Linked DNA regions of Tribolium castaneum. The protein of the gene in region 3 purifies or fractionates together with the protein of the main gene of each other region. This does not show direct contact. Links are inferred from orthologs where the notes say so. Each region holds a gene or a part of one and is shown on either strand. Other genes may lie near its edges.

What was found.
Region 1: the proteins of BAG family molecular chaperone regulator 2 (region 3) and mrj purify together in Homo sapiens (affinity purification with mass spectrometry; 4 studies listed by BioGRID and IntAct, with this or other methods). This does not show direct contact. The link is inferred for Tribolium castaneum from reciprocal best matches to the Homo sapiens genes BAG2 and DNAJB6.
Region 2: the proteins of BAG family molecular chaperone regulator 2 (region 3) and interferon regulatory factor 2-binding protein 2 purify together in Homo sapiens (affinity purification with mass spectrometry; 3 studies listed by BioGRID and IntAct, with this or other methods). This does not show direct contact. The link is inferred for Tribolium castaneum from reciprocal best matches to the Homo sapiens genes BAG2 and IRF2BP2.
Region 4: the proteins of BAG family molecular chaperone regulator 2 (region 3) and Stip1 purify together in Homo sapiens (affinity purification with mass spectrometry; 3 studies listed by BioGRID and IntAct, with this or other methods). This does not show direct contact. The link is inferred for Tribolium castaneum from reciprocal best matches to the Homo sapiens genes BAG2 and STIP1.
Region 5: the proteins of BAG family molecular chaperone regulator 2 (region 3) and Bx42 purify together in Homo sapiens (affinity purification with mass spectrometry; 3 studies listed by BioGRID and IntAct, with this or other methods). This does not show direct contact. The link is inferred for Tribolium castaneum from reciprocal best matches to the Homo sapiens genes BAG2 and SNW1.
Region 6: the proteins of BAG family molecular chaperone regulator 2 (region 3) and Tpr2 purify together in Homo sapiens (affinity purification with mass spectrometry; 7 studies listed by BioGRID and IntAct, with this or other methods). This does not show direct contact. The link is inferred for Tribolium castaneum from reciprocal best matches to the Homo sapiens genes BAG2 and DNAJC7.
Region 7: the proteins of BAG family molecular chaperone regulator 2 (region 3) and erythroid differentiation-related factor 1 purify together in Homo sapiens (affinity purification with mass spectrometry; 3 studies listed by BioGRID and IntAct, with this or other methods). This does not show direct contact. The link is inferred for Tribolium castaneum from reciprocal best matches to the Homo sapiens genes BAG2 and EDRF1.

The regions. Positions count from the first base shown.
Region 1 is NC_087395.1:20,017,595-20,020,623, reverse strand, and holds the end of mrj (dnaJ homolog subfamily B member 6), read right to left. Parts: intron 1,737-3,029; coding exon 1,554-1,736; intron 1,507-1,553; coding exon 1,242-1,506; intron 1,192-1,241; coding exon 1,092-1,191; 3' UTR 501-1,091; downstream 1-500. UniProt on the Homo sapiens protein: Has a stimulatory effect on the ATPase activity of HSP70 in a dose-dependent and time-dependent manner and hence acts as a co-chaperone of HSP70. Plays an indispensable role in the organization of KRT8/KRT18 filaments.
Region 2 is NC_087402.1:6,594,834-6,599,005, forward strand, and holds the start of interferon regulatory factor 2-binding protein 2, read right to left. Parts: upstream 2,801-4,172; 5' UTR 2,679-2,800; coding exon 1,859-2,678; intron 1-1,858. UniProt on the Homo sapiens protein: Acts as a transcriptional corepressor in a IRF2-dependent manner; this repression is not mediated by histone deacetylase activities. Represses the NFAT1-dependent transactivation of NFAT-responsive promoters.
Region 3 is NC_087396.1:11,144,974-11,147,903, reverse strand, and holds BAG family molecular chaperone regulator 2, read left to right. Parts: upstream 1-1,312; 5' UTR 1,313-1,494; coding exon 1,495-1,528; intron 1,529-1,604; coding exon 1,605-1,829; intron 1,830-1,876; coding exon 1,877-2,226; 3' UTR 2,227-2,430; downstream 2,431-2,930. Other genes in the region: hop (tyrosine-protein kinase hopscotch), read left to right, coding at 1-289, 344-513, 559-741, 790-925; beta-mannosidase, read right to left, coding at 2,435-2,689, 2,738-2,930. UniProt on the Homo sapiens protein: Co-chaperone for HSP70 and HSC70 chaperone proteins. Acts as a nucleotide-exchange factor (NEF) promoting the release of ADP from the HSP70 and HSC70 proteins thereby triggering client/substrate protein release.
Region 4 is NC_087395.1:1,458,302-1,462,318, forward strand, and holds the start of Stip1 (stress-induced-phosphoprotein 1), read right to left. Parts: upstream 2,801-4,017; 5' UTR 2,703-2,800; coding exon 2,694-2,702; intron 2,643-2,693; coding exon 1,565-2,642; intron 1-1,564. UniProt on the Homo sapiens protein: Acts as a co-chaperone for HSP90AA1. Mediates the association of the molecular chaperones HSPA8/HSC70 and HSP90.
Region 5 is NC_087397.1:9,848,808-9,852,705, forward strand, and holds Bx42 (puff-specific protein Bx42), read right to left. Parts: upstream 2,654-3,898; 5' UTR 2,346-2,653; coding exon 2,332-2,345; intron 2,280-2,331; coding exon 2,116-2,279; intron 1,973-2,115; coding exon 549-1,972; 3' UTR 501-548; downstream 1-500. Other genes in the region: ATP-binding cassette sub-family F member 1, read left to right, coding at 1-71, 340-490; qm (terpene synthase), read right to left, coding at 3,860-3,898. UniProt on the Homo sapiens protein: Involved in pre-mRNA splicing as component of the spliceosome. As a component of the minor spliceosome, involved in the splicing of U12-type introns in pre-mRNAs.
Region 6 is NC_087398.1:7,331,344-7,335,402, forward strand, and holds the start of Tpr2 (dnaJ homolog subfamily C member 7), read right to left. Parts: upstream 2,801-4,059; coding exon 2,667-2,800; intron 2,351-2,666; exon of another isoform or gene 2,239-2,350; coding exon of another isoform or gene 2,213-2,238; intron 696-2,212; coding exon 1-695. Other genes in the region: uncharacterized protein LOC103313090, read left to right, coding at 2,863-3,124, 3,171-3,397, 3,444-3,671; mRpL10 (large ribosomal subunit protein uL10m), read right to left, coding at 3,687-3,880, 3,929-4,059. UniProt on the Homo sapiens protein: Acts as a co-chaperone regulating the molecular chaperones HSP70 and HSP90 in folding of steroid receptors, such as the glucocorticoid receptor and the progesterone receptor.
Region 7 is NC_087397.1:550,043-554,336, forward strand, and holds the start of erythroid differentiation-related factor 1, read left to right. Parts: upstream 1-1,494; 5' UTR 1,495-1,650; intron 1,651-1,820; 5' UTR 1,821-1,833; coding exon 1,834-2,036; intron 2,037-2,080; coding exon 2,081-2,592; intron 2,593-2,651; coding exon 2,652-4,294. Other genes in the region: mus301 (helicase POLQ-like), read right to left, coding at 1-836, 973-1,086, 1,128-1,167. UniProt on the Homo sapiens protein: Transcription factor involved in erythroid differentiation. Involved in transcriptional activation of the globin gene.

The DNA.
Region 1 (3,029 bases), on a different chromosome or scaffold from region 3:
TAAACAATTTACCAAATTAAAGTGTGTCTGCATTCCCTAAATACCGAATTAGTTATCAGTTATCAATCAATCAAACAGACGATAAAAAACAACTTTAACTAAATCTTAAATATTGATATTTCCAAAACCATTGAATGAATAGACCTGATGTTTTCACTAAAAAATTATTATCTATAGACTTCTAAAGGCAATAAGTACAAGAACGTGGTGAAATTTTTAATATTACCACTCTGGTTTTCTACATTTCGAAATTCTAACAAGAGTAGTTAATTTTCGACAGCGATATGTTTAGAGAAACACGATTTTTTGAAACGTAATATTTTTACACAAAAAATCAACAATTCGAAAAACTCGGCACTACTAATAAACGAAGTTGTAAACTGTAGATAGCCAATTCGGATGGACACAGTGGTGTTCTATTGGACTGTAAAGGTCCCATTTGGGTGAGAACTCTGTTTTCCAGCTGTCTGTTTTGGTGGGATTAAAATAAAAAATGCGGAAATCGTTTATATTATATTTTTTCTAACACTGTGACTGTACATCTCTAAGCACACATTAATAGTATAATCATTTGTGTACTTAACAGTAATAGTAAGTGCTTGGGAAAAAACTAGCAAATTAATATTAAATTAAAATTAAAACGTTGCATAATACAAAATATCTCTTCCATGTTAATTCCTCCTTTGAATCAAGCTTAATAAAAAATGAGCAGTCTTGGCAAAAACAAAACGAAAACCGAACTTTTTCACATGACAAAAATGTAACTAGTAACTAAACAACTCATCCTGAGCACCTCTCGTTCAAGAGCGTCATCAATTCCTATCTCTAGCTAACCTAAACTGCAATGATGTAAAAACCTCCTCGATTCTTACATCATCATAACATCTTATTAAAAATTAAGATACTACAAAAATTCTGAAAACAGAATCATAATATTTTATTGTACAACTGAATAAAAAAAACTTGAAACCAGTTGCAAGAAGTCTTTAATACACACACTGACAATTTGGCAACACTGCGTGGCCAGAAATCGATCAACATCAAGATCACATAAATTGTAGATTCTTCTAATTTTGTAAGTAGCAGTGTGTTTAACTGTACGTCAGACTCTGAGGAACCCCATTCACAGTCTTCGATTTGAGGATATCGTTCTCGTACGTCATCACCGTCTCTCTCCCGTTCTCGTACACCCTGAAACCGCAAAATCACCTTCAAAATACCACCAAAAATCCACTACTCACTTCTTCGTGGTGATTTTCTTCCCGTTGGCGAAGCGCGTCGACGTTGACGTCCTCTTGACGTTGGCCGTGCCCCCCGCCCCGTTTGTAAACGTACTATTTATGGTGCTGAAGGAGGTGAATCCCCCATGGCCCGTATTGAAAAACTCGTCCATGAAACTACCCCCCAGACTCACCCCGAACGGGCTGAACAGACTCGAACTGAGAGCATTCTGTGGATGTGAATGTCTGTTCCGTCGCCGGTCTCTATGCCCGTGATCGTGAAAATCTACGACTCAAACTTAACAAAAAATACAAAACAATCTTAGGACGTACCTCCAAACAAGTCGGCAAGAGTAGAACCCCCGAAAAACTCCCTGAAAACGTCCTCCGGATCTCTGAAAGTGAAGAAACCGAAACCGCCAAAGTCGAATTCGTCATCGTGGCGGCTGCGACTACGACTACCGCCGTTGATGAGCCCTTCTTTACCGTACTGGTCGTACATACGACGTTTCTTATCTAGAAAAAAATGCCACAATGAATGGGGGCTACAACAAGGAGAAAAAGCTAACAGACGAGTCCTCAGAATCGTTGTGGACCTGCTCTAAGAGGGTAAAAAAGAGGCTAGAGTTAGAAAAACCGCAGATTTTAGTCGGAAAATGCCAAAATTAGTCATTTTAGTAGTACAGGCCGGAATTTTAAAGCAAATGTGCAAATTCATTACAAATTATACACTCTCTAAGAAAATCGAGGGGAGCTTAAACATTGATGTAATTAACTGAGTACGATATGAAAAAAAAAACGCAAAAAAAGGGCAAGAGAGAAGTAAATGTATACAGATTTGGGAAAAGCACGGACCCAAGCGGCCTACTTATCAAGGTATCTTACCAAAAAAATCGCGGTAGTAGGGTGCCATTTAAAATTGTTTTTTAATAACTCGAAAACTAAAAATAATTTCGAAAAATTTTATTCTTGAAAAATGATCACATTTTTAAAGTAGTTGATGAAGGACTAAGAAGTTGTTTTTTCCATAAGGTACGTACATAGTTAAGGCACAAAACGCTCGGTTCAAGTCTGTATTTTTGTAATTAGTTATTATACTGAATTTCGTAAAGTGTCAAATTTATTTAAAAGCTAAGGCTCATGAAAAGTCAACTTATTTAAATTTAATAATTTCTTTCCTATATTTTTCTTGTATCTTTCACCATATTCGCAACGTTTTGAAAAGTTTGAGACAGAAGCAACTTTAATTTTTTTTCTCATGTTTTTTATGAAAATTTTGGTCAACTTACTCGTATTAAGAATTTGATGCCCAATGTTCCTGCCTTTTTTTCCAAGTAATTAGTGAACTAGTTGAATTTAAACCAATTTAACACAAGCTTTCGCGGCTAGTACCAAATAAAGAATTGGGTTAGACCGCGTTAATTTGAAACCCAGCGTCGACGTTTCACCCGCTCTTCAGGAGGGGCATCTTCAGGACAATGTCGACACTGATTTCCAAATTAAAACAGGTCTAACCCAAAAAAACCTAGATCTTTAAAACAATTTAAATTCGAAACCCGAAGCTTTTGAGCACAGAAAATTGACTTATTTTTGATCTTGTTTCTCCTCCAATTATTATCCAGCTGTCTATTAGTTTAAAAGCATTGGCAACTTAAGTAACAGTTTTGTCTCAAATTATAGTGCTAGAACTGCTTATTACCTTTACTTATACAATAACGAAAACCGATTTTCTATATCCGCGCTTTAAGTTAAATTATTTCAATTTCAATTATGTCGTCATAACCGCCTCACGAGTATTTAGTCCAATTT
Region 2 (4,172 bases), on a different chromosome or scaffold from region 3:
AGACGGTACAGGTGTTTGATACCGTTCCTTCAAGACTATTATCTATTTCCTCACGAGACAGATGGCCAGGAAGGAAATGCGACCATCTGTCCGTGAAAGAACAGAGGATTTCTTTCACAAGGACAACGGACTGTTTAACCTAATTATTGTGGATAGACCCGCATATACCTGGGACAGATGGGACGTGTAATATCTATGCGCTGTTACATTTACATAACAAGATTAAGGCGCATCACGTGACGAGTATATTATTAAAACTCGTTTTATTTACTATGGACATGCGAACAGGTGTGTTGCAATGCATCGTATTCTAATTATCGACATGCAAACCTGTCTTTTCCGATCTAATAACTTCAGAAACTCGAAACTTGGCAAGAATTTTTCTTGTGGGAAGCACACAAAGAGTAATAAAAAAAAACATAACGACAGAATGAACAAAACACCAATTGTTACGCCAATTTGAGATAACAGAGTTTATTTATTAAGAACAATGAGCAATTAAAAGCCCCACGTTTTATTATGTCCGACCTGATTTAAAGCAATTGATTTGACATAAAACTGAAATCGGTTAGGTCACCCCCTAATGAATTTGAAATGTCACTCGTCGTTTTATTCCGATTTTAATTAACAAAAACAAAGGCATGATTCACGTCTTTATCGCGAATTAACATTACAAACGAATCAAACCCACGTCGAAAGACGGGTTTCGTTTCTTTTCTGCAATCGACAGATGCAACTCGAGGGTTGATCCGTGGGAAACTAACCAAGGTCACTCCGAACGCTAGACTGGTTTATACCATACGGCCGTTCTTGCAGCAATTATTATTTATCGAACAGGTCTCGTCGTGTGTGGTAGGCATCAGTAATGAACTCTATTGTGAGAAACCGATCGATTTTATTAAATTTCCATGTCGCAGGTAAGCATACACATATTGTTGCTCGTCCAGTTACCACACGAACCGAGAAAAATTTGCAATTTAACTGTTGTAGCCTATTGCTGCGTTTAATTTAACGGATTCTACTTAATATTGTTCCTATAAGTAATGGCTTCATCCCAGTTATCATTTACCCGTGAAAGGGTAACTGGGACTGCAGTCTACCAGGAAATGGGAACGCATATGAGCTAGGTAATCTAGCGCCTTGGCCGAGGTTCCCACCGGTACCACCCGAGGGTAAAAAAAGAAATCCGATCGGTGTCAGAAACGCAACGGTAAACAGAGAAAAGGGGGCCAAGTGAGCCGGAGCTAGGCCAGGTAAACATCCATTAAAAGCATCTTATCTTCTGGGAATGCCTCGTTTGTGAAAGCCGATGTAGTGACGTAGTCAGGTATAAGAACCGGTCGTACGAGACAGACCGACAACCGGTCTTGTGCGTGTAGCTCTCGACTACAACCCAAGATCCGTAATCCATTTGGCTCGTTGACTGCTTTTTTACGTCACAAGGTTGACTCTGCGACTAGTGAAAGCGTGTGCAGTGTGCACACACACACAGACGCCAAACTTTTGCACAATGGAATTTCGAAATTCGAAGCCGTTCACCTTTCTTATCACTGGACGAAAAAGGGGCTCGGTTTATTTTTATGACCGAGCGGACGTGTCAACATGCAGCTAGCTATAGCGCTGCTTTCCAAAATAAACATTACGTAGGCAACGCATAGAATCGGGATCACGACGGATGGAACGCGTTCCCCTTTAAGCCCAACGTTTTGAATGTCAAACGCTTCCCCAGGTTTGTTTTCGAAAAGCGGCCGATTTATGTTGATGTGTAGCGTCATCGTTACGTGTACAGAATAGCGTGACGTCACGCGAGTCTCCTTTTTGGAAGGAGTTAACCACCTCATAATAGATTGATCCTCACCATTGGGTTTGAAGGCGGTGGCGGTGTCGAACGAAGCCGTCCTGAGAGGATGTTTCTCCTGCTTGAAGGTCCTCTCCGTCGAAACGACGAACGGTTGCGCCAGCGAAACCGCCGGAAGTGATTCGCCTCTAGTCAGCGGAGGTCGAACCGCATTGCTGTGCTCCTCCACCGACATCATCCTCTTAGCTCCATTCATATCGCCGTTGGCGTGATGCAAGCCGTGATGATCATCATCATCAGCGGCGGACAAGCCCCGTTTCAAGCCCTGCTGCGGCAATCCGGGCCTGCCATTGGCCGAATGGTGATGACTCTGGAGTTGGTGATGGGCCAAGTGCGTGGCTGTGGGCAGCCTGACCGTAGGTCGTGCAACTAACGCCTCAGGCTCCTGTGTGGTCTCCATCTGTTGCGGTCTGGGTATGGCCGTTCCGCGGGGCGGCAGCGGCTGCTGCTGGGCTTGGTAGTCCGCCAACATCCCGGAACGCGGATGGTGCAAGCTGTACGTTCCCGAATGGTGCGTGGCGGGTTGTTGTCGGCTGGACGTCGCCACCACTTCGCCGTTCTGGTGCTCATGGCTGGAGGCGGCCGTCCGGTGGCTCTTATGCGAAGCTGAGCGCTGCTCTTGGAAGCCATGGGCTCGTTTCATCTGCCGTGCCGTCTCCAGGACGATCTCGATCCTGTCGGCGCCTTCGTAGTTGACGCACCCTCGACAGACGGGCTCGGAGAAGTCATGGACCATGGCCCACGGCATCCTGGGCAGGTCGCACAAGTAGCAATGCTGACGTTTCGCCTGCTGCATCTGCATGACCGACATCTTCACCATCTAATGATTATTTCCGTCACTGCTTTTTGCGGAACAAACTACTGTCACTACGGACACTACGACATAGTCGCGGACACACTCTGAGCACATCCAAACACTGCTGCTGCGCTAGAACTAACTGAACCCGACGATCAACGCAACGACAACGGTAACGGGGCCAGGGGAGAGACACTCGACTGGCTCGGTAATCGTTAGCTTGATGACGTCACGAGGCACTGAACACCAATAGCAATAAGGTCTACGTCACAGTTTGCGCGCGCTGCATTCGACGACTGCTGGCTGGAATAAATCCCATCCGAAATGAAAGAACAGCAGAACCAACAAGAGTCACTTCACTTGACTACAACGTAAATTAACAAAAATAACAGAATCACGCTTGGCCGACCAACCTGTCTCCGACGGGAGGTCGGACAGTCGACTTGACCTGAATTCCGCGCTGCGTCTATTCAAAAACTGACACCTTCTTATCAACCCTTAACCATCGCCAAGTCACATCCTTTAAGCAAATGACGCACTCCTTAACCTTTCGTGCCATTTTCACAGGACACAAGCACGCAAACGCACAATTCGTGCTTCCCTTCGAACGTTCCTCATTTTTACCCCGTTCTAGTTATTAGCCTAGGTCACGAATTTACTATTCGATACTTCGTTCATGTAAAAATAACACCGTCGCCGCCAACATTCTAAACAATTATTACTACCTAAGGAGTAGAAATAATAACTTGCTTTATACTATAAGAACACGAACTTAACAAAAAATTAAAATTTTCACACAATAAAAAATATCAAGTTGAAGTAAAATGAACATAAAATGTTCGCTTCTTAATTTTTTAGATTGTTTATCATCATCATTGGAAGTTTCTTGAAATAATGGTTGAACAAATTGTAGAAAAACACTTTTAGTAGTAGCAAAAAATCACTGCCCTTTTAGTGTTTGATGAAGATTATTTTATATTTGTATTTTATTTATTGAAGAACGATTAGTCATAATTTCGAAGAATTACATTCAGTAGCCCACACAAAAATATGTTCAATGGAACTATGTTTTATAGGCGAAATGTCTACAGTCAGTGTCGATTTATTTAATTATTTATTTTTAATTTTAAGAATTCTAATATGTAAAAATAAAGCAAAATACAAAGAAAATCGTTGAACAAAAAATCGAGACATTATTATTAACTAAAGTGATTACAACATATTTCAAAATAGCGTTGGTCTTTAGTAAATACCGCTTTAAATACTGATTTCTCCTTAAATATCACGGTGTTTTCTAACGTATATCTACGATTTTCGTTAATTTTTGTTAAATCATAATACGTCACAATATAAACGGAAGCACATTTTGGATTAAGTCCCAAAGCTACGACAAAGCTATGTTTACAAAATATCATGTCGAATTTTGAAAAATCGTCGGTGCAAATAAATAGATAGCAAGCCTCTCGATATTCGATCAGCGATAGCGTAAATATATCCAGAATTCAACAAAATATGTTT
Region 3 (2,930 bases):
AACTTTGGAATATCCCGGAAATCCTGAAATTGAACCGAGAATCGTGGCAATCAAAAAACTGAAATCGTCAACTGTGTCTGCGTGTTTGCAAGACTTCGAACGGGAAATTAACATTATGAAGACTTTGCAGCACCGGAATATTGTTGAAATTTTGGGGGTTTCCCGGGAACCGGATATTTCCCTAGTCATGGAGTTCGTCCATCATGGCTCTTTGCAGAGTTATTTGAAAATCAATCGAGAGTCGTTGCAAATTAAACAGTTGTTGAAATTCGCGCTTGACATTGCTGAGGTTTGTGGCCTTATTATTTAACCAACTTATCAAATAACATTTTTTATTGACTAGGGAATGAATTATTTGGGCAAGAAAAACATCGTCCATCGGGACTTAGCCACCCGGAATATTTTGGTAGCTGACGAAAACCACGTCAAAATCTCCGACTTTGGCTTAGCGCAAGTCATTGGCACTAATGACTATTACATCTTGAAAACAAACCGGGAATTGCCGATTAAATGGTAATTAGCGAAAAATCACGACTTGAATTACTTTGGTCTTGTTAGGTACGCGCCTGAAAGTTTACGAGACGGCAAGTTTTCCGTGCGTTCCGACGTTTGGTCGTACGGTGTCACAATGTGCGAAATGTTCAACTGGGGCGAAGAGCCGAAATTGTCGAATCTGGGAGAGGAGGAAGTCAGAGGTCAAGAGCAGCAAGTTCTCTTGAACGCCTTGGAGAGCGGGGCCAGGTATTGGTCCGTTGCTGACTTCGTTGGTTTTATCGTTGCCTTTTATAGATTTCCGTGTCCTCCAATGTGCCCACAAGCTGTCTATATACGGATTATATATCCGTGTTGGCACGCGGACCCCCACGAGCGGCCCGCGTTTAGCGTCCTCGTCCAGGAAACGCAAGACCTGCTAACGCAGTATTGAGTGATATTCAGTGCCCATGCAAGGGTGAGCACAGGAAAGAGCACCACTTTGTATAATCTTTTGTATTAAGTTATTCACAAACGCCTATTTAAGATCAAGTGTTAGATTTTAGTTTAAATAAGTACCTGTCGTTTTTATTATTTGCTCAATTTATTTGGAACAAGCACTTCTCGTGCCATTTCTCAGTGCAATCAACTTGTAAATATGTATATTCTATATTTTAAAATAAATGTTAATTTAAGGTTTTTTGCATCATTTCGCTGGACCATTTGTCTCTTTGAACAAATGGCCATTCGGTTTAAAAAAATGCGTTAAAAGCCGCGAATTAATAGCGATAAACATTGAATAATGGTAATGAAAGTACAATTAAGCAGATTTATGGTGTTTTGGGGCGTTTTTTATTGTATTGATTGCGTTTTTCGAGGCGGTTTCGAACTAGTGGGACTAAGGAGTAATGGAACTTTCTAGATTTTGAATCAAATGACCAATGAGTTGTTCCTGTGCTGAATCAAATTGATTTAAAATTATTAGATAAACTGGCGTCAACCAGCAACGATAGCTGCAACAGAATGGACATAGATCCATCTCCGAGTACTTCATCCGGTAATAAATCCTTCTTATCAATATGTTTTTAGGTTATGTCAAAATTTTTGTGTTTGACTAACAGCCCGAGTTTCAGGCTTCTTAATGGATCTGACGTACTCAGGATTGCCAAGGATCGATGAAAACAACACCGTGGATCCCAAATCGCCCAAAGAGCGGGTTTTAGAACTGTTAGATATCTTAGAAAGTCATGTTGAGAAGTTGCGGAGGGAAGCGGCGCAGTTGGAGGAGGACCGGGACCACTTGTTGTCATCCCTGGACTCGGTTAGAAACACTGATTTAATAGTCGACTTACCGGATAGTAAGTATACCAAAAGTAAAAGTCGTTCGTAATTAATTATTTGTAAGATGATAGGGATGATGTTTGCCAGTACGCTGAGCGCATCATGAGCCGCTGCCTCACGGTGGAAGTGAAGATTTTAACTCAGCGTGATAAGATGCAAGAAGAAGCCTTGCACCAAGTGAATCATTTGATAGACAGTCTTGTAATGTGTGTGAAATCGGATCCTGAAAGTGCAAAAGCTAGATGTATAACCTTCATGAATGCTTGTTCTTCGAATGTGGTGCACGGGATCACGGATAAAAAGTTCGAATCGGCTTTGTTAGGATGTACCGTTGACGACCAAAAACGGGTAAAGAAACGGCTTCAAGGTTTGTTAAATTACTTTGATAAACTTAATGTAACTTCGATTCCATAAACTTACTTAATAGTGCGTTGTTATTGATTGTGGCCCGCTTATTGCCATTATATACACATTAAATCGTTAGTATTTAACCAATTGAGTTGTCTTCATTACGGCTTTAATACAACACAGTCGTGTTAACTTAAAATAGCCACTGTGATTGTTTAAAAGACACTTTATTTATAATTGATGAATTAAATAAAATTATTAATTCATGTATTACTTATTTCCGTGAAATAAAATACTTAGGGTCTCTTAGATGAGTCACTGTAAGCGCTTGTTTCAAATCTTCGCTTGTTGTTGGTGAATCTGCTATAAAAGTGACTGTTGTAACAAGAGAGTGTTGAATAAAACCGTTTTCAAGAAAGTGGCCTTTAATATCGTGCGGGTCCAACCAAACGAAAAGACTAGGGGCGTCGGCTTTCACCCACACGTGGAAGCGCAAGCCTTTCGCGTCAATCATATCAACTGAAATAATCTAAAACAAAGCTAAAGCTCTTATCGGTTAATCCCCCGGAAAAATTACCTCAACATTGGAGTTTTTAAGTTTAGCTTCCTTAAATTTTGAAGGGAAAAAGTAATTAGACGGGGTCAAAACTGTGCCGTCTTTCCCACCAACAATATGCACAAAGCAGTTGTATTTTGCTACATCTGCAGCGCCACACCCGGAATCGGACAAAAATTGGTCCACATCGTATGATGCAACTAGTCTTGCCACC
Region 4 (4,017 bases), on a different chromosome or scaffold from region 3:
TTCGCAATTTTAACTAAGGAGCAATAGAAATGATTTTCTAATTTTAAAACCAAGCGTTCTAATAATTTGTTCAAAAAATTTTTAATTTCTTTTTTAAAATGTTCTAATAAATAAATTTTTAATTAAATGATCCGCGTTTATCCGAATTTAATCGATTTTTCTTACAAATTGGAAGTGACAGGAGAAGAAAAAATAAAAACCGTTTGGATAAAATAAAGATATTTGTTCTTGTAATCAAGTGTCAAATAGCCATCGGGTTGGCAATACCATAATTAGTATTTTTTGGGTTTAAGATTGGTACATTTTTTTAATTTAAATTTGCTATTTTATGTTTATTTTTTTAATTTACGGGCAGGAAAAGTTTGATGTAAATTTATTAATTACACAACACTTTTCTTAAGAAAAATTTGCCAAGAATTACGTAATAAAAAAAATATATACAACTAAAAAGCAACAAAAATCGGCCAAAAATGCAGATAAATTGTTAAATCGCTTTTTTTTTTAATTTAAAACCAAGCGTTTAAAGGTTTGGGCAAATTTCTAAATTCCTGGTGGTAATTTCTAAAATAAAATTTAAGAATGTTCTAATATACAAAATTTTAATTTCATAATTCGAGTTTATCAGAATTTAAATGGTTTTTCTTACAAATTTGTAACAACAGCTAAAGAAAACATAAAAACCTTTTAGATAAAATAAAAACTATTTGCTCTTGCAATTAAGATTGGCACATTTGTTTTATTTAAAATTTGCTACTTTGTGATTTTTTTTAATTACATTCAGAGAAAAATTTGATCTAAATTTGTTAATTACATAACCACTTTTTCTTAAGTAAAATTAGTCAAGAATTACGTAATTTTACAAAAAATATATATAACTAAGAAGCAATAGAAATCGGTAAAAAGTGAAGAAATTGTTAAATCATTTTCTAGTTTTTGGTGACAATTTCTAAAATAAAATCAAAAAATGTTCTAATAATTAGAATTTTAATTAAATAGTTCGCGTTTATATGAACTTGCAATGATTTTTCTTACGAATTCGAAATGACAGCTGAAGAAAAAATAAAAACCGATAAAAAAAGGGCCGTATGAATAAAATTAAGTAAAAGCTTTTACTTCAAATTTTGCAAGTAAATGCTCTAAATTGTATGAATAAAAATGTAAGTATTAACTGTTTCAAAACTATAAAAACGCCAACGTCGCATTTTCTTTAAAAACTAACTGTCATAAATTATTCATGCACTTCAAAAAGTTAATAGATAATGTAATTTGTGGATTCAATGACAAATTATTAATAATTACTTTACAGTTTTATCAACCTTATTTTTAAAAATAATTTAGTAAAATGCGAGGTTGGTGTTTTTATAGTTTTGAAACAGCTAATAGATGTTTCTTTATTTAAAATTTTTGGTAATTGAGTAAACTTTTTTATTACTTTGAAATTCGTGTTTTTATTTAAAAATTGATCATTTTAACAAGGAACCTGAGCATGTTCACTTGCTCAATAAATAGAGCCACACATTATGCAATTTTACCAACTTGTTTTCCATCGAAAATTAAAACTTACCAATTTCCTTCTCTTTTTCAGCTAATTCTGGATTAACATAAGCTTTCCGTTCCTCTTCTTTGATAATCTTCTCAACATCGGACAACAGAGTTTTAATTTCAGGCGTCCTATGTTCGGACATTGACTTTTCGTAATAAATTTTCGCATTTTGATAATCCTTTAGTCTCTTATACGCATTCCCAATCCTAAGAAACGACTTTGCAATTAATTTAAAATCGGCTCTATTCTCCCTCCCTATATCAATAGCCCTCTCGCACTCCTTAATACATCGATCGTAATCCTTCTGTTCGAAAAAAACCGCCGCCAAATTATTATAAAACGTGATATCGGTGGGATCGTGTTCAATCGCCTGATTATAAAACTCGATCGCTTTTTCAAAATTCTTCTTTTTGTAAAATTCATTCCCTTGTTCCTTCGCCGCTTTCGCCAGTTTCTTGTTCTCGGGTAAGTCCGGCTCGGGTTCTTTCTTCGGTTCGGGCTTCTTCGGTGGCGTGTACACCGGTTCGGTCTCCATCGGTTCTTCCCCCGGATCGATTCCAATCAAGACACTCAACGTGGTCAAAATATTGGGGTCTTGTAGTTTCTGGCCGAGGAGATTGGGGTTTGTTTTGAGCATGTGGAGCGTCGCGACGTAGTTGGGGTCATCGAGCAGGGGCTTGGTCCGGGGGTCCCCGCGAAGCTTCTCCATGAGGTCAGGTCGGTTGAAAGGATTGGGGAACCCCTTGGCTGTTTTCTGGGCTTTGACCTCCTGCAGCCCCTCCTGGAGCTGGGGGTTGGCGGGCTCGATCTGCAAGCCGCGCTCGTACGTGGCGATGGCCTCGTCCAGGCGCCCCAGGTAGGCCAAGGCAGCCCCCTTCCGCGAGTAGCCCTTGGCCCAGTCGGGCTTCAGTTCGACCGTTTTGTTGGCGTCTTCGAGAGCCGATTCGTGGTTGTTGGCTTTGGCAAAGGCGGCGGAACGGTTGGAGTACAGGACGTGGTTCGAGGGGTCGAGTTTGATGGCTTCGGTGTAGTGTTTGATTGCCTCTTCGAACTTGTTGGCGGCCAGTGCGGCATTGCCTTTGTCTTTCAAAGCGGCGACCTAAACGAAACATCGTAAAAGGATTTTTGCATTAAATAAATGTGTACTTACTTGTTCCATTTTGACCGGCACTTAATAATCACAAAAACACGTTTCTCGACGATTCTTATTCGAGAAGTTTCCAGTCATTGAAGATTCCCCCACCACACGATCTGTCAAAAGGGATATATTTTTTGACATTTTCAGACAATTTATTAATTAATCAAGCGTAACATTGTTTCAATTACATTATTCTACTAGTGAAAGAACGTACATAACGGTAATTTCATTGAAAATAGTTTTTTAATCAAAATTAAAAAAATAGTGTATTGTTGGTTGCCTGTCTCGGTACACGATAGTTCTGTTATTGTCACCAGAGTGCGCAGTTTTCAGAAAAAATAAAAACAAGGCAAACAAAATTAAATATAGGCAGATAGAGCATTAAGGCTAAAGAGGACAATAGAGTTAAACCCAATGTGCGATAAATAGCCCAATCAAATTAGACAAAAATGGTGGAAAAACTCCTAGAGAGTAATTTTTTTAAAAGCTTCCTTTACATTTCGTCAGACATATACCAAAAGTCCCCGAAGATGGGGGGGCAAGCTCGAGGAAAGGGAGGGGTTCAAACTGTTTTTTTTGTTTTTTTTTGCTTATATCTCGAAAACGGTCACCCCTAGCAATTTTTATCTTCTTATCAAAATTAAAGTAGATAAAATTTCCTACAAAATGGTCCTAGCCTTATTGTTGTATGACTAACCGTAAGCGAGCTACTAGCTTTTGAAGTTTGGTATCAACATGACATTGTATAACTAAACATTAGTATACCATAAGTATTTATACAGGATCACTGAAATATGGATACAGTTAAATATTATAAAAACTATTAATCAAAATTTATTAAAATTGGGCATATGCTTAAGAGTATATAAATTGTATCGTTTCAGATGTTTATTAAATTTATATTTCCATTTGTTCTTCGGATACAAGGATAACTTGATTTTTTTGAATAACAACAAGGGTCAAATTAATATTTTTGAAAAGAGCATTTTTTCTGAGTTCTATGGTATAACACATGTATACCTTAATTTAATCGAACCTTAAAAAAATTGAAAATTTTGAAAAACGTAAAATTTTATTAGCCTTGGAAATGTTGTCTTTATCTCTCGTTAGCTCATTAACCAAAAAATAAGCAAAAGTTAAAAATAATTGTTAAAATATCACTATTAATTGAAAAAGAACACGTTTTAATTAAGAAATTTTAAATACGGAATACTTGATTTTTATGGTACATAGTAAAAAAAATTTTTGTATTAAAGTTATTGATAAATAACTAATTTTAGATAAATGATATGTGGCAACGTTGTCTAACAGCCATGATCGCAATAGAATTTGAGCA
Region 5 (3,898 bases), on a different chromosome or scaffold from region 3:
GCACTAGCTGAGGCCATTAACGACTTCAGTGGAGGGGTTATTATAGTGAGCCACGACGAACGACTTATACGGTAAGAGCAAATAAATGTACTCTTTCTTTTCTTTTTTCGCCTCCCTTTATAGAAATTTTATATTTTTCGTCCTAATTTCAGGCTGCGAAGTATGCGTTTACCAGCACTATTAGAAGTGAATTTAATTTTTAATTTGCATTAGCTACTTAATTTGTTCGTTAATTTAAATTAAGATGAAATTCCATCGAGTTTTTGTAACAATTTCGGCTCGACCATAAAACTCAATTTTATTGTTTTGTGTAAAAAAAAATTACTAATTTTGTTACAGTGAAACTGATTGCGCCTTGTACGTAATAGAAGACCAGACCATAAACGAATTAGACGGCGACTTCGACGACTACCGCAAAGAGCTCTTGGAGAGTCTGGGTGAAGTCATCAACAGCCCAAGTATTGCAGCAAACGCTGCCATTGCTCAATAATACAACAAAAAATTTCTACAATTGTATTTATTTAAAAAACCCAAATACAATCAATATTTTAATCTCTTCTCTTTCGCTTATCCCTCTCATCCCTCCTCTCCGGTTCCTTGCGTTTGCTCGCCCGTTTAGCCTGACTCAAGAACTGATCTAACCCGAACGGATCTTCCTCTTTCTCAAATTGTACAGGTCCAGACCTTGGCGCATTCCGATCAGTTCCACTAAACTCCTTATCCGGAACAAATCGGTTCGTTTTGACGATTTTCTCCAAATCTTCACCGTATACCTCCTTATCCACATTCCTACTAGGTCTGTACAAGTGATTGGCCATTGAGCCCCCCTCCCTCCACGGCTTATCATAAACATTATACGCGTCATCGTCCCCATATCCATGCCCCAAACCTTGAGCCTGTCCGAATAATCTCTGATCAAACTGCACCTCGTTTGAGGAGACTCCTCTGGCAGGCATCCCCAAAGCAATCTGCTCGGAAATATCTCGCTCTCGCTCCCTCTTCAACTTTGAACGCTTATCGGGAGCAGCCCTTGCCAAGTTTCTCTCTCTTGCTCGCTCCTTATGCCGGTCCTGTCTCAGCATTTCTCTCTCACGTTCCTCCTCATCTGTGATTTTAGCATCAGCGACTTTGATCCCAGCACGTTCATCTCGAGCTTTTTGAGCCAACTGTCTCAAATGCTCCTCCTTTTGTTCCTTTTCCTTCTGAGCTAGTTTTTTCTCGAGTTGGGCGCGTGTTTCCACAGCCTCTCGTGCTTTTCTATCGGCAATATATAGAGCCTCAGCCAACTTTGCGAAATTCTCGTTGATGTGCAACTGTTGCAACCCCCGACCATCTGCAGCTAAACGCTTATCTAACGGAACTGTGTAACCCTTTGCATTTTTCCAATTTGAAATACAGGGCGGGATTTTCCACTCCTTTTGCTCCTTAACAGTGACACGACGTGTGGGGCTGTGCAAAACGGGCGCTGGGGGCGAAGGGGGCCCCCTTGGGATCTTCTTATTGATCTTGAAACGTGGGGGCTCCATTGGATCAACTTGTGCTTCGACCAAACGAATGACGCGCTGTTTGGCACCCGAGTTGAAGGCGGCCCCTTGTTGTGAAGGGGTGTAACGAATAAATTCAGCGGGGCCTTGTTTTTCGGCACATCTGACTGGCATTGCAGCTGCGATTTTTGAATTTGTTAGGCGTTGTAATGCTTGACGGGTTTTTTCTGTGATATCTTCGATTTCCTCCTGAGATGGTTTAGCAAGACTTGGGTCATTTTCTGTGGTTACTTCAACTGGTAACAAATCGGAGAGTTTTGAATAGACGATTTTGTCTTTGCCGTGGCCTTGACGTGCGATTACGTCGTATTTGACTTTGCCTTCTGCGTCCAATTGGACGGCCAAGGCGTTTGAAGTTGATTCTTTGCCCTTTCGCCCCATGTCAAGAGGGTACTGGGCCACGTGGATTTCGGGAAATGCGCCTCCATCTATAAATTGCAATAAAATCAGTGATAGTGAAAACTTTTCGACGTCCTTGACTGATTATTTGTAATAAAATTTAATAGGACCAATCAAAAAAGTTGGTCCCATCGTAGTTAAATTTAATTACAAAAAATCGGTGGCTAATTACCTCCATAGTCGGTGTGGACTCGTGGGACCCAACCCCTTCTTTGTCCATACGGTGGGGCAATGCTTTGGGCTGTTACAACAGATGTGGAACGTTGAGTTGTGGCATTCTGTTGCCGTCTCTCGTCGTCCCGATCCCATACGGGTTGTATGGGGGCGGGCAATAAACTACAAAATAAATGCGTCTTACTCTACAAGCCCAAAAGTGAGGTTAGGTTACCTGGATAATTCCATTTCTTTTCCTAAATCAGCAAAAACTTGACAATAGCGTAAAATATTCACACTGCACTCATTAATGTAAGTTTTTATTGTTTTACTTCACTAGTAAATCGGAAAATATGTAAAAATCGATTGCACAACAGTGGCTTTCGGGAAAACAATTTCCGCAAAATCTTGATATTATATTATCGCTGTGCGATATTCAAAGCAATTTGTACTTAAAAAACGCAACTAAGTAATGGATTATTGTGTGTAATTCTGTTTTATAAATACACCCAAATTAACGCCACTACTAAAACGTCAAATAGACGGAATGATTTGTAGAGGGCGCGGTTGAGCATAGATTGTTTGTTCCGAAGTTCTATAAGTTCGAAAATACAGACTGATCCAGAAATACTGAGTCTGTTGGCAACACATTTGAAAGTGTTTGTGCTTGTAATTTGTAACATTGCAACCGAATTCGATTTTTCTTGACAACTATTTGACGTACAACCCCACAAGAATGTTAAATTGTTGTTAACTGGAAGCGTATTCCATTAGTATCCTTAAAAATTTAAGTCCAGTGTCGCCAACAGACTCAGTATTTCTGGATCAGTCTGTATTTTTAACGTGAGGGTATCCCCAAAAAAAAAGATGCACAACCACTCACAGACTTTTAGCTACTAGTTACTTCAACAAGCAGACCCTTTACTTACGTAGAATAAACAAAAAACAATAAATTTTTTAATATTTTTCCAAAAATTTAGAAAAACATTCATGTATCGTGCGGTTGCCATTGATAATTGGCAATAATTGGTGGTGTTTGTGAACTTCTAATTTTGAAAATGTACTTCTCCAACATATAAATAAGTGCCTTAGAGCACTAAAGTGAAATTTGAATTTTGGAACTAACACCATAACACACTGTAATTTTTAACCGCTGTAGAACTGTGTCTAGCACTAAATTGAACTAAAAACACTAAAACATATTCAACCGAAGGCTGTTTACTATTGAAATTCGCGCTTTTTTGGTGTTGGTACTTCTGTTACACTGTTACGTTGGTAGTGCTGCAATATCGGCGCGCCTTTTAGCACCTGTCATGTTTTGTAGTTTAGCATTATTTTTGTTTAACGCTGTTTTAGTGTTTAGTTTGTGTATTAGTAAGGATTTATGGTGTTAGTGGGTTTGTTTCTCGTTATTTAAAGACAATCTTATTCAGAGGAGGAACATTTGCAGGAATATTTCCACCCTTCTTTGGTAAGTGCACATTTTAGTTGAGTATTAATTATAGCTTTAATTTAAACATTTTGACGCTTCAAAAGGTGAAATAAAGCATTCTTATGCAGAAATTGTAAGGTGCGGTACTAATTTTAGTAACGTTTTTTGACTAACTATTCAGTACTCAGAGAAAGAAAATTAGTCTTAGCACAGACAGTACACGGTGTCTGTTTGCTCCATAATAACAAAAAAAAGGAACAATCGATGAAATAGTGTTTATTGTAGCAACTTAATATAGATATCACAATAATTTAATTTGATCATGAAAAAATTATTCCAACTTAAAAATATACTCCATTACTTCGGCCAT
Region 6 (4,059 bases), on a different chromosome or scaffold from region 3:
TCTTTTTGAGTTCTTTAGCTCTCTTGTAGATGTCCATAGCCTTTTTGTGGTCGGGTGCAAGTCGCAAGACTTGCTGGAAGTGGTTAAAGGCGCTGTCCAAATTATCTTCGTAATAAAGACACATTCCCCGTACGTAAATCGCATCAGCGTTTGTTTTGTCCAAATGCAAGGCCGTGTTGGCGATTTCTTGCGACTCCTGGTATCGTCCCAAGAAAGCCAAACATTCGGCTTTCATTATTTTGTAACGTGTGCAAGTTGGCGCTTCATCCAAACACCTATCCATGCAGTAAACAACTTTTCGGAAGTCTTTCTTTTCCATTGCTTTTGCTGCCTCTGTTTCGAACTGTCTCAGTTTTTCGAACGAACGAGTTTCATTGTTGATGTTGGCGTTCTTGTCAAGCAGATTGATCTGTTTGATGGCATTTTCTGCTGTTGTAAGGTCGCCAAGGGCTATAGCGCATTTCAATATTCGAATGTAGCCTTTGCTGAATGCGGGATCGATGGTTATGGATTTGCGTGCATCCTCCAATGCTTCTTGAAAGTTGTTCAACATCATGTAACATGCCGAGCGGTTCGAGTAATAGGCGGCGGTTTCGGGGCATAGTTCGATGGCTTCGGTGTAGAGATTGAGGGCAGATCGGTATTGCTTGACTTTGTATAATTGATTGCCATTTTCTTTTTTCAATTCGGCAAGCCTGAAACAAGCACGGCTTTCACAGGAACAACGCAACTTAAGTGTGACCAGAATGAGTGAAAATTGCCTTTTAATGGAGTGAATCACGCTATGAAGACAGAAAATTATAGGAAAGAACTGGGGAAAAAACGAATATTAACAATGATATAACGGAAGTTCACATAACTACCAACTTATCAAATTTAATAAGAATTTGGCTGAGTAACTAACGATGTTAACAACCTATTAAAAACAATTAAAAATAACGACCCAAACAAACATAAAAAGCTTACTCTACTGTAAACTTTTTCTCTCATTTTCTTCTGTCCGTTTTAGTTTGGTAGTAGTTTGCCATAAGACAAAGAATAAAATATTATTTTACCTAGTGCGGGGTCTGAATACAAAATATCTTAAATAATTAAGTAGGATAGAAAGGACTTGAGGCATTAGGAAAAAAGTTAAAGCTGAAATACGAAGAACTATAACTTAGGAGACGAAACGAGATACAAAATCGTACGATTTTCTGAACCCAAAAAAATAGTACGGTATTCGTTTTCAATTAATTTAAATCCAACCAATTGAATAATTACTTGGAGATTTCCATAAGAAACATGAGAAAAAAATATTTTTTAAAGATAAATTAAATGGGAAATTTTATCAGTTTTAATTTTGGTAAGAAGATAAAAGTTGATAGGAGTAACCGTTTCCGAGACAAAAAAAAAACAAAAAATACTTCTTTAACCCCCTCCCCCTCCTCAAGCTCACTCCCCACCCTCGGGAACTTTTGATATAATTCTACCCAAGTGTAAAGAATGCTTTAAAAAAATCCAACTCTCTAAGAATTTCTTTGTTTAATTTAACTGGGCTAATTCACTAATCTCCGAGACAAGGAGCAACAAACAATATTGCAGAAACAATATCTACACGTGAACCAGTAAATGACCTACCTACCAATATTACCCTAATTTCATGCGATTTGAAACGATACTTCATTAGAAGAAAATATTAACTTTTGTTTTTCTAATTTAGTAAATATTTAATCAATGAATTGATCTGATTTTCATTCGTGACTAAGCAAAAATATAGAACAAACTAGCCAATTAACATGCTAAACTGTGAAAATTTAAGGGCCATAAATCGTTGTTACTATAGCAACAACCAATAAAATTGCTAGATTTCTGATTTTAGGGTGGATTAAATTTTAACAGCCCTTTAAAACTTATAGCATGGACCTCAAAGTCGTAATATTCTGACGAAATAAAAACCTTAGTGGATAAAAATTCGTTACACATCCAGATTAGGGTTTTTTGAATTGGGTTCTCTTCAACTTTGATCACAATCATAGTCACAAATAGAGTTTGTAAATAAATCACATTGTTTTTATCTTATCAAAAACCAACACTCGTGTGGTCAATGTTTATTCCTTCGGTAGGTTACATTTGTCGTTAATAAACAACAAAGATAATCCAATTTAAAAGTGAGAACCTTACAGTTCTTATGCCCATTTATGAGGTAAACAAATTCAAAAACAACACTCACATATTGTGGCAATCCTCAACTTCCATGGTCTTTCTCGTTACAAATTGGTAAAAACCGCGAAAGTGTCACAGTGACAAGTTAGGAGAAATAATGCAAAGGCCATAAAATCCACGTTATAAATAAAATAACTGTCCAAACAAAAGGTTAAATTGTTAATTTGCACGCCGGACCAAATATAAACACTGAACTGTGGAGGAGTGAACCAGTAATTACAAAGGTGTACGACCTTAGATTAAAAATAACCCACGGAAATCGTTAAGACTGCACAAATCAAATTTAAAATCGCACCAAGTGGTTCACTGAAATAACCGAATCAATAGCAATTAATTGTGGGAAATTGCAGTAACAAATGTGAGTCAGTGACACTCGTGTCATCGACATTTCGACGTGAAACCCCACGAAAGCAGTGCTCAAAATCGAGGAATAAATCTAATTGTTGTAAAATAGCACTTACTCGGCTGGATTTTTTGGAATTATCAAATCTTCAGAGTCCATAACAACATCTTCCCCAAAATCTGCCATCTTGCACAAGTTGTGAAACGAGTAAGACCGATTCATCACCGAATTCAAAATTCGTACTGTGGGCATGCGCACTAGCTAATTTGTGACCAATCGATAAATTTTCACCAACGCGGGAATTTTGAAACGAAATGAATGGAAATGCGTTTGACAGTATCGCCTTCAACGCCAACAAATACGAAATCGACATTAAAAACTACTTCGTAACGCGCCAAGAGGACGACAGTACTCAGAGCGACACTTCGGACTCACAAACGGACCAGTACTTGGCCTGTAAAGGAGTTAAACTGCCAACTGCGGAACCACACATTTGCACCTGGGATTATTTAACAAAACCTGAAGTGATCCACTTGATGGGCATTAAGAGTAAACGACTCAAGAGGAATTTCATTGGTAGTAATATTACAATCGTTTAAAATTTGCCAAGTTTTCGTTGCAGAGGGAAAATTGCACAAAAAGCCCAAGGGACTTCCCCGGATCATATTCAGGGAGTTGATGTACTCTGTGACTAAATTCTGCACGTCTGCCAGTTACACCGTGGAACAAACTGGGGCCTTGTTGTCACAGTTCTACCTAACTCATTTATTTTTCACCAGTGTTTTGGATGTTGGTCCTGAAAAATTGTACGAGTATTTTAAAGGACTGCAAATGTGTCATTCTCTACCAGTAAGTGATGGGGGTCAAGTGTGGGTAAAAACTGTATTATTTTTAGTTCCCACCACATAGTATCAAATTGTTTAATTTGGAACAAATTAAGAACAATATGGTTTATTTCTGTAAACTATATCTTAGAAACCTGCCCTTGGTCAGGTTCTTGTGTTTGCCCAATTTTTCCCTATGTGCCCAACACCGCGTACAACCAGACGTCGCTCCACGTAAAAAAGGGAAGAAAAAAGGGAAAGGCAAAAAGGGTAAAAAAGCAAAAAGAAATGATCTATGAAATACATTTATTGAGCTATTCTAATTGTTTTATTCTTTGTTCGAGTTGTGAAACAAGGGTGCTTTGATGTTGGTTCAACTGCTGATGTATTGTAGTGGCTGCACTGTTGAGTGTTTGGACCAAAGCTGCTTGAGCTGTTTGCAAGTTTGGTATTTTTTCCAGTTCAATTAATTCGTCTTTACTCACAAATTTGCCCTCAAATATGGCAGCTAAAGGCATAATTAATTAAAAATAACAAAAACTGGATTATACAATACCTAGTAAGACAAGCTGGGGAAACCTTTTCGTGATTTTTAGCAATTTCTTTACTTCCGGTTGCGGACTAAAGACCATAATGTTTTGCGAGACGTAAAAATCCAAAACCGGTTCAAATTTCGTATCCTTGACT
Region 7 (4,294 bases), on a different chromosome or scaffold from region 3:
CAATTCATCAATGCCTTTGTACATTTTAATCAACTCTTTAACCCTCAAAGGCAAGCCGTAGAAAGGCCCAACTTCGGTAAACGTACCATTTTCTTCCCCAATCGTCTCACTTTTGGCTTTTTTCACCGGTATTACGTCTTTAGTAATGTTTGATAAAAGCACTTGCTTTAAGGCCGTAGCAAAACTCGCATTAATTCCAGACATTGTAATATCATTCTCATTCTCATTATTTTTATCCGATTCTTGTTCCACTTTTTGCGTCCCGAAAAGTCCTTCCAAAATTTTCGAAATGTCTTTATCGACAGACTCAACATCTGAGCCCATTACGCTGACCGAATGTTCGATTTGGTCGAAAAATGACTCCAATTCGTCGCGATTATTTTCATTTAAAACGTCTCCCAAATTCTCGCTTATTTTTGCACCCCAATTTTTCTCGCGCAAAATTGTGCTGTTCGTGTTACTCTCACTTATTATGGTCTCAATCTGGTTCAAGGCTTGACTGTTCTCAAACAGTTGAGTTAATTGAGTCAGTAATGGTTTTTTTGGTGATTCGTTTGGGTCATTTTTTGATCTGAGAGACAGTGGTGTTTTTTGTGAAGCATCAACAACTTTATGTAAGGAATTGTCGCTGGCTGAGCGCGTTGAAAGTGCCGTACTTTTATTAGTTTTATCATTTAGTAGCTGAGTTAGATCAATATTATCAAATAAATCGTCATCAAGTGAACATTCCTCCAGTTTGCATTTCTTATCAGCGGCTATTTTTGCCTCGTTAGACAACCTTTTTTTAGTCCCGGTTTTGCAACCACTATGATTTTCCGGAGGTTTCTCACTTTGTACTGTAAAAAAATTATTCATGATGTATAATTGGTTGCACAATCGGTAGAAAAAATTATTGAAATTATTTTATCAATTAGAGGCGCTAATTCCATAATATAGACAAACGTAGAAACGCGTTGGGATATTAGTTATTACCTTTTTTATTTTTTGAAAGCGAGAGCACAGAGAACTTTTGACTTTTGTTTTGGGATAATTGTCCTCGGGGTGCTTGAGGAACTAGGAACTCTTCATTGTTGGGCTCTGTAGAAACTAAAATGACTATTATGGTAATCTGAATACAAATACAAAACCTGGAGGTATTCTTTTGTGGGGTTGCTTCAAGCTGTTCATTTTATCACCCTGAATATTAACCAATAACACTTTCACAAAATTAGTAATTTATCAAATTGCACCTCTATTGCTACATTTATCTATTTTATTTAAACCATTTAAATATAAAATATTAAACACAAAACTGCAAATAAAACAAATTTTCGAAATATAACTTTTGACAGACAAATCTTGAACTTGACAATTGTTTCTTTTGCGCCGAGACGAACACGAGCCAATCACTGTAATTAATGCTACATGCTACAATGCTACTTTTGTAGTAGCATTGGGTTAGTAGATATTGTATCGTCTTTAAATTTTATTTATTTCAATAAATATTAATCATTAATTATTTAATCAGACTTTGGCGCTTGCTCGAATTCGCGCAATGTCAAACTGTAAATGTCAAAGAAATTTTAAAAGTCGTTCACAAAAATTCAACCTTGCTAAATATCCAAAAACGGGAAGATTATAAACACTCAACACATCCGTGCATTACATTAGGTATGTGTGGTTACAATTAACACGAATTCGTTGTAAATTACATATTTGAGCCAAGAGGTGGAATGTTCTAGAACTGATCATCGGTGGTGTTCTAGCACTTCAGAGTGGTTCAAGTGGTTGTGTATTTCCCTTGTGATCCTTATGGTCAACCAGTTGCATTTTAATTACAGTAACCCGCCCATTATGGAAAATGAAGATAGTGAAACGGCCGACAGTGAGGAGGTCAAGTCACGGGCCGTTGTGAAGTATTCCGTTCCAAAACCGGCCCAATTCATTCGATTAAAATGTAACACCGACTTAAACCTACCCCCTTCAAATTGGTTGAGTAGTTCGGCCGATTCTTACGGCTTACAGCACGTTCTCTACCACCAGAAGGGATTTTCAAGGTTAGCTCTTGTCTTAAATTGTTCACTTGAGAAGTTTTCTATAGTTTCAGAATGGCCCACATGTTCCCTGACTGTGTGGGAGAAGTAGATGTGGTTTCGGATGCGGAAAACATAAAAAACCTGCTTAAAATACCCTACTGCAAAAACCACATCAGTATGATGGTTCACAGAGTTGAAAACACTCTCCTACTTGATGATTTTGATATTTACAAACATTTATTGAGAACCTCCGAAACTGAATGGAAGTGGCTCAAAGAGTTCTTTTTCGAAAATGTCAACCATGAGACTTACGAAGAGGACAAGAATATGTACATTAAAAATCGAAGACGGGAAACCTTACAACAGAAAAGTCTAGTTTCGAAATTTCTGTATCATAGTTTGGCCGAAGGTGATACTAATGAAAATACGTGTTATGAGGACCCGAAAACCCTTCCTGTACCTTTACACGGACCCCAATTGCCTGAACCTGTCTCCGCAACACCCGATCCCAAGCCCTTTGATCACAATTACAACAGAAATGTTGTTTGGACTTTTGAGGACATTGAAATGTTAATAGGTACGGTATTTTTGTAATTTTGCATTTTCCTTGAATCAAATTTTTTTATATTTTTCCAGGTACGGATTTACCGATATTCGGTGGTGGCACCCACCCTTGCATCTCACTCCGTCTTCGAGACGTCAGTAAACCAATCAACGTGCTAACAGGCATCGATTATTGGCTAGACAATTTAATGTCAAACGTTCCCGAAGTCGTAATGTGTTACCACTTGAACGGCATCGTCCAAAAATACGAACTTATCAAAACCGAAGACTTACCCCGCTTAGATAATTCAAAATTTTCCCCTAAATTAATTCGAGACGTTGCTCAAAGCATTTTATCGTTTCTTAAGTCAAACGCGACCAAAGCCGGCCACACTTATTGGCTATTCAAGGGAAAAGACGAAGAGGTTGTGAAATTATACGACTTGACCTCACTTTGCTCAGAGAAAGATGTGGAAAATGGTCAAAATCCCTTCACTATACCTGTGGGTATGTTATTATACCGAGTAGCGCGTAATATGAAACATACATCGGATCGGCAACCCGGAACAATCCGGATGTTGCTTAAAAACTGTGTTAAGTTGCTACCGGAGGAAAAATACCCAGAAGTGGTCACGTCCTCGCACTATATGTTGGCCGATTTGTACGTCCCGGCAGGGACCAATCCCGAAGCGCCTGGTTTAGAGCAGGAAGTGGACGAAAATGATGAGTTTGACGATGACGATTTGATCGACGATAAAGACGATAAAGCTACGAAAATTCTCGTCTTGGATCAGAGTGATTCTAGGGAGAAATTTGTTAATTATTACAAGTCGCCACCGCCGATTACGGGAACTGTGGAAGAGCGGTGTCTACAAGCTGTACAGCATGTGGCAACCGGGCTTAATTGCTTGCAATACTTCCAACAACACCAAACTAGTGCTAGTGGTAAAAAAACAGCCGAAGAGGAGGAAGTTCCTGTTGCCAAGCCTTTTGAACCGATTCCAATGCCGTACGGGAAGCTTGATTCAAATGATGGTCAAAAGAAACAAAAAAAGAAAGACAAAAAAAAGAAGAACGAGAAAAAGAGTGAAAATGCCCTACTTTTGAAAAACAACACTCAGCCTTTGCCGACTTGGCAAAACGGGACGGGAAATATCTCATGGAAGGACCATCTCAAGACTTTACTTTATGAAAAAGCGGTCTTGGTTTATGCAATTTTGTCGGAACAACATTTCGGTGGCCGAAATTACGGTAACAGTTTGAGGACGATTGGTTTGTTGGCTAGATGTCAGTTGGTGATGAACCGCCTCCTTTACAATTCCAACGCCTTGAAGGAGAATTGTTTGCTGGGCAGAGCCGGCGATTGTTGCATTATGATGATCCAAAACTGGGATAAAGTCGATAGTTACCGCCAGCAATTCCAAAACAATTCCGAGGAAGATTTAAAATTGATGGAACAGCTCGAAAAAGACGAGCAATTGTACAACATCCACATCGGCGAGTCGAACATGAAGTGCGTTTTCATTTACGATATTCGCACAATCGAGCAAATTCTTCTCAAAGGTGTGGAGTGTTACGAAGTGGCGTTAAAATCAAGCGAAAATGATAGTATTTTACGGCGGTTGGGTAACGGTTTAAATGAAGTCGCCTCGTTTTATTTGAATAAAGCCAAGTCGGCTAAAACGAGCGATCTTACTGTGGAAATGTGCAAAAAAGCTGAACCGTACTTAACGAGA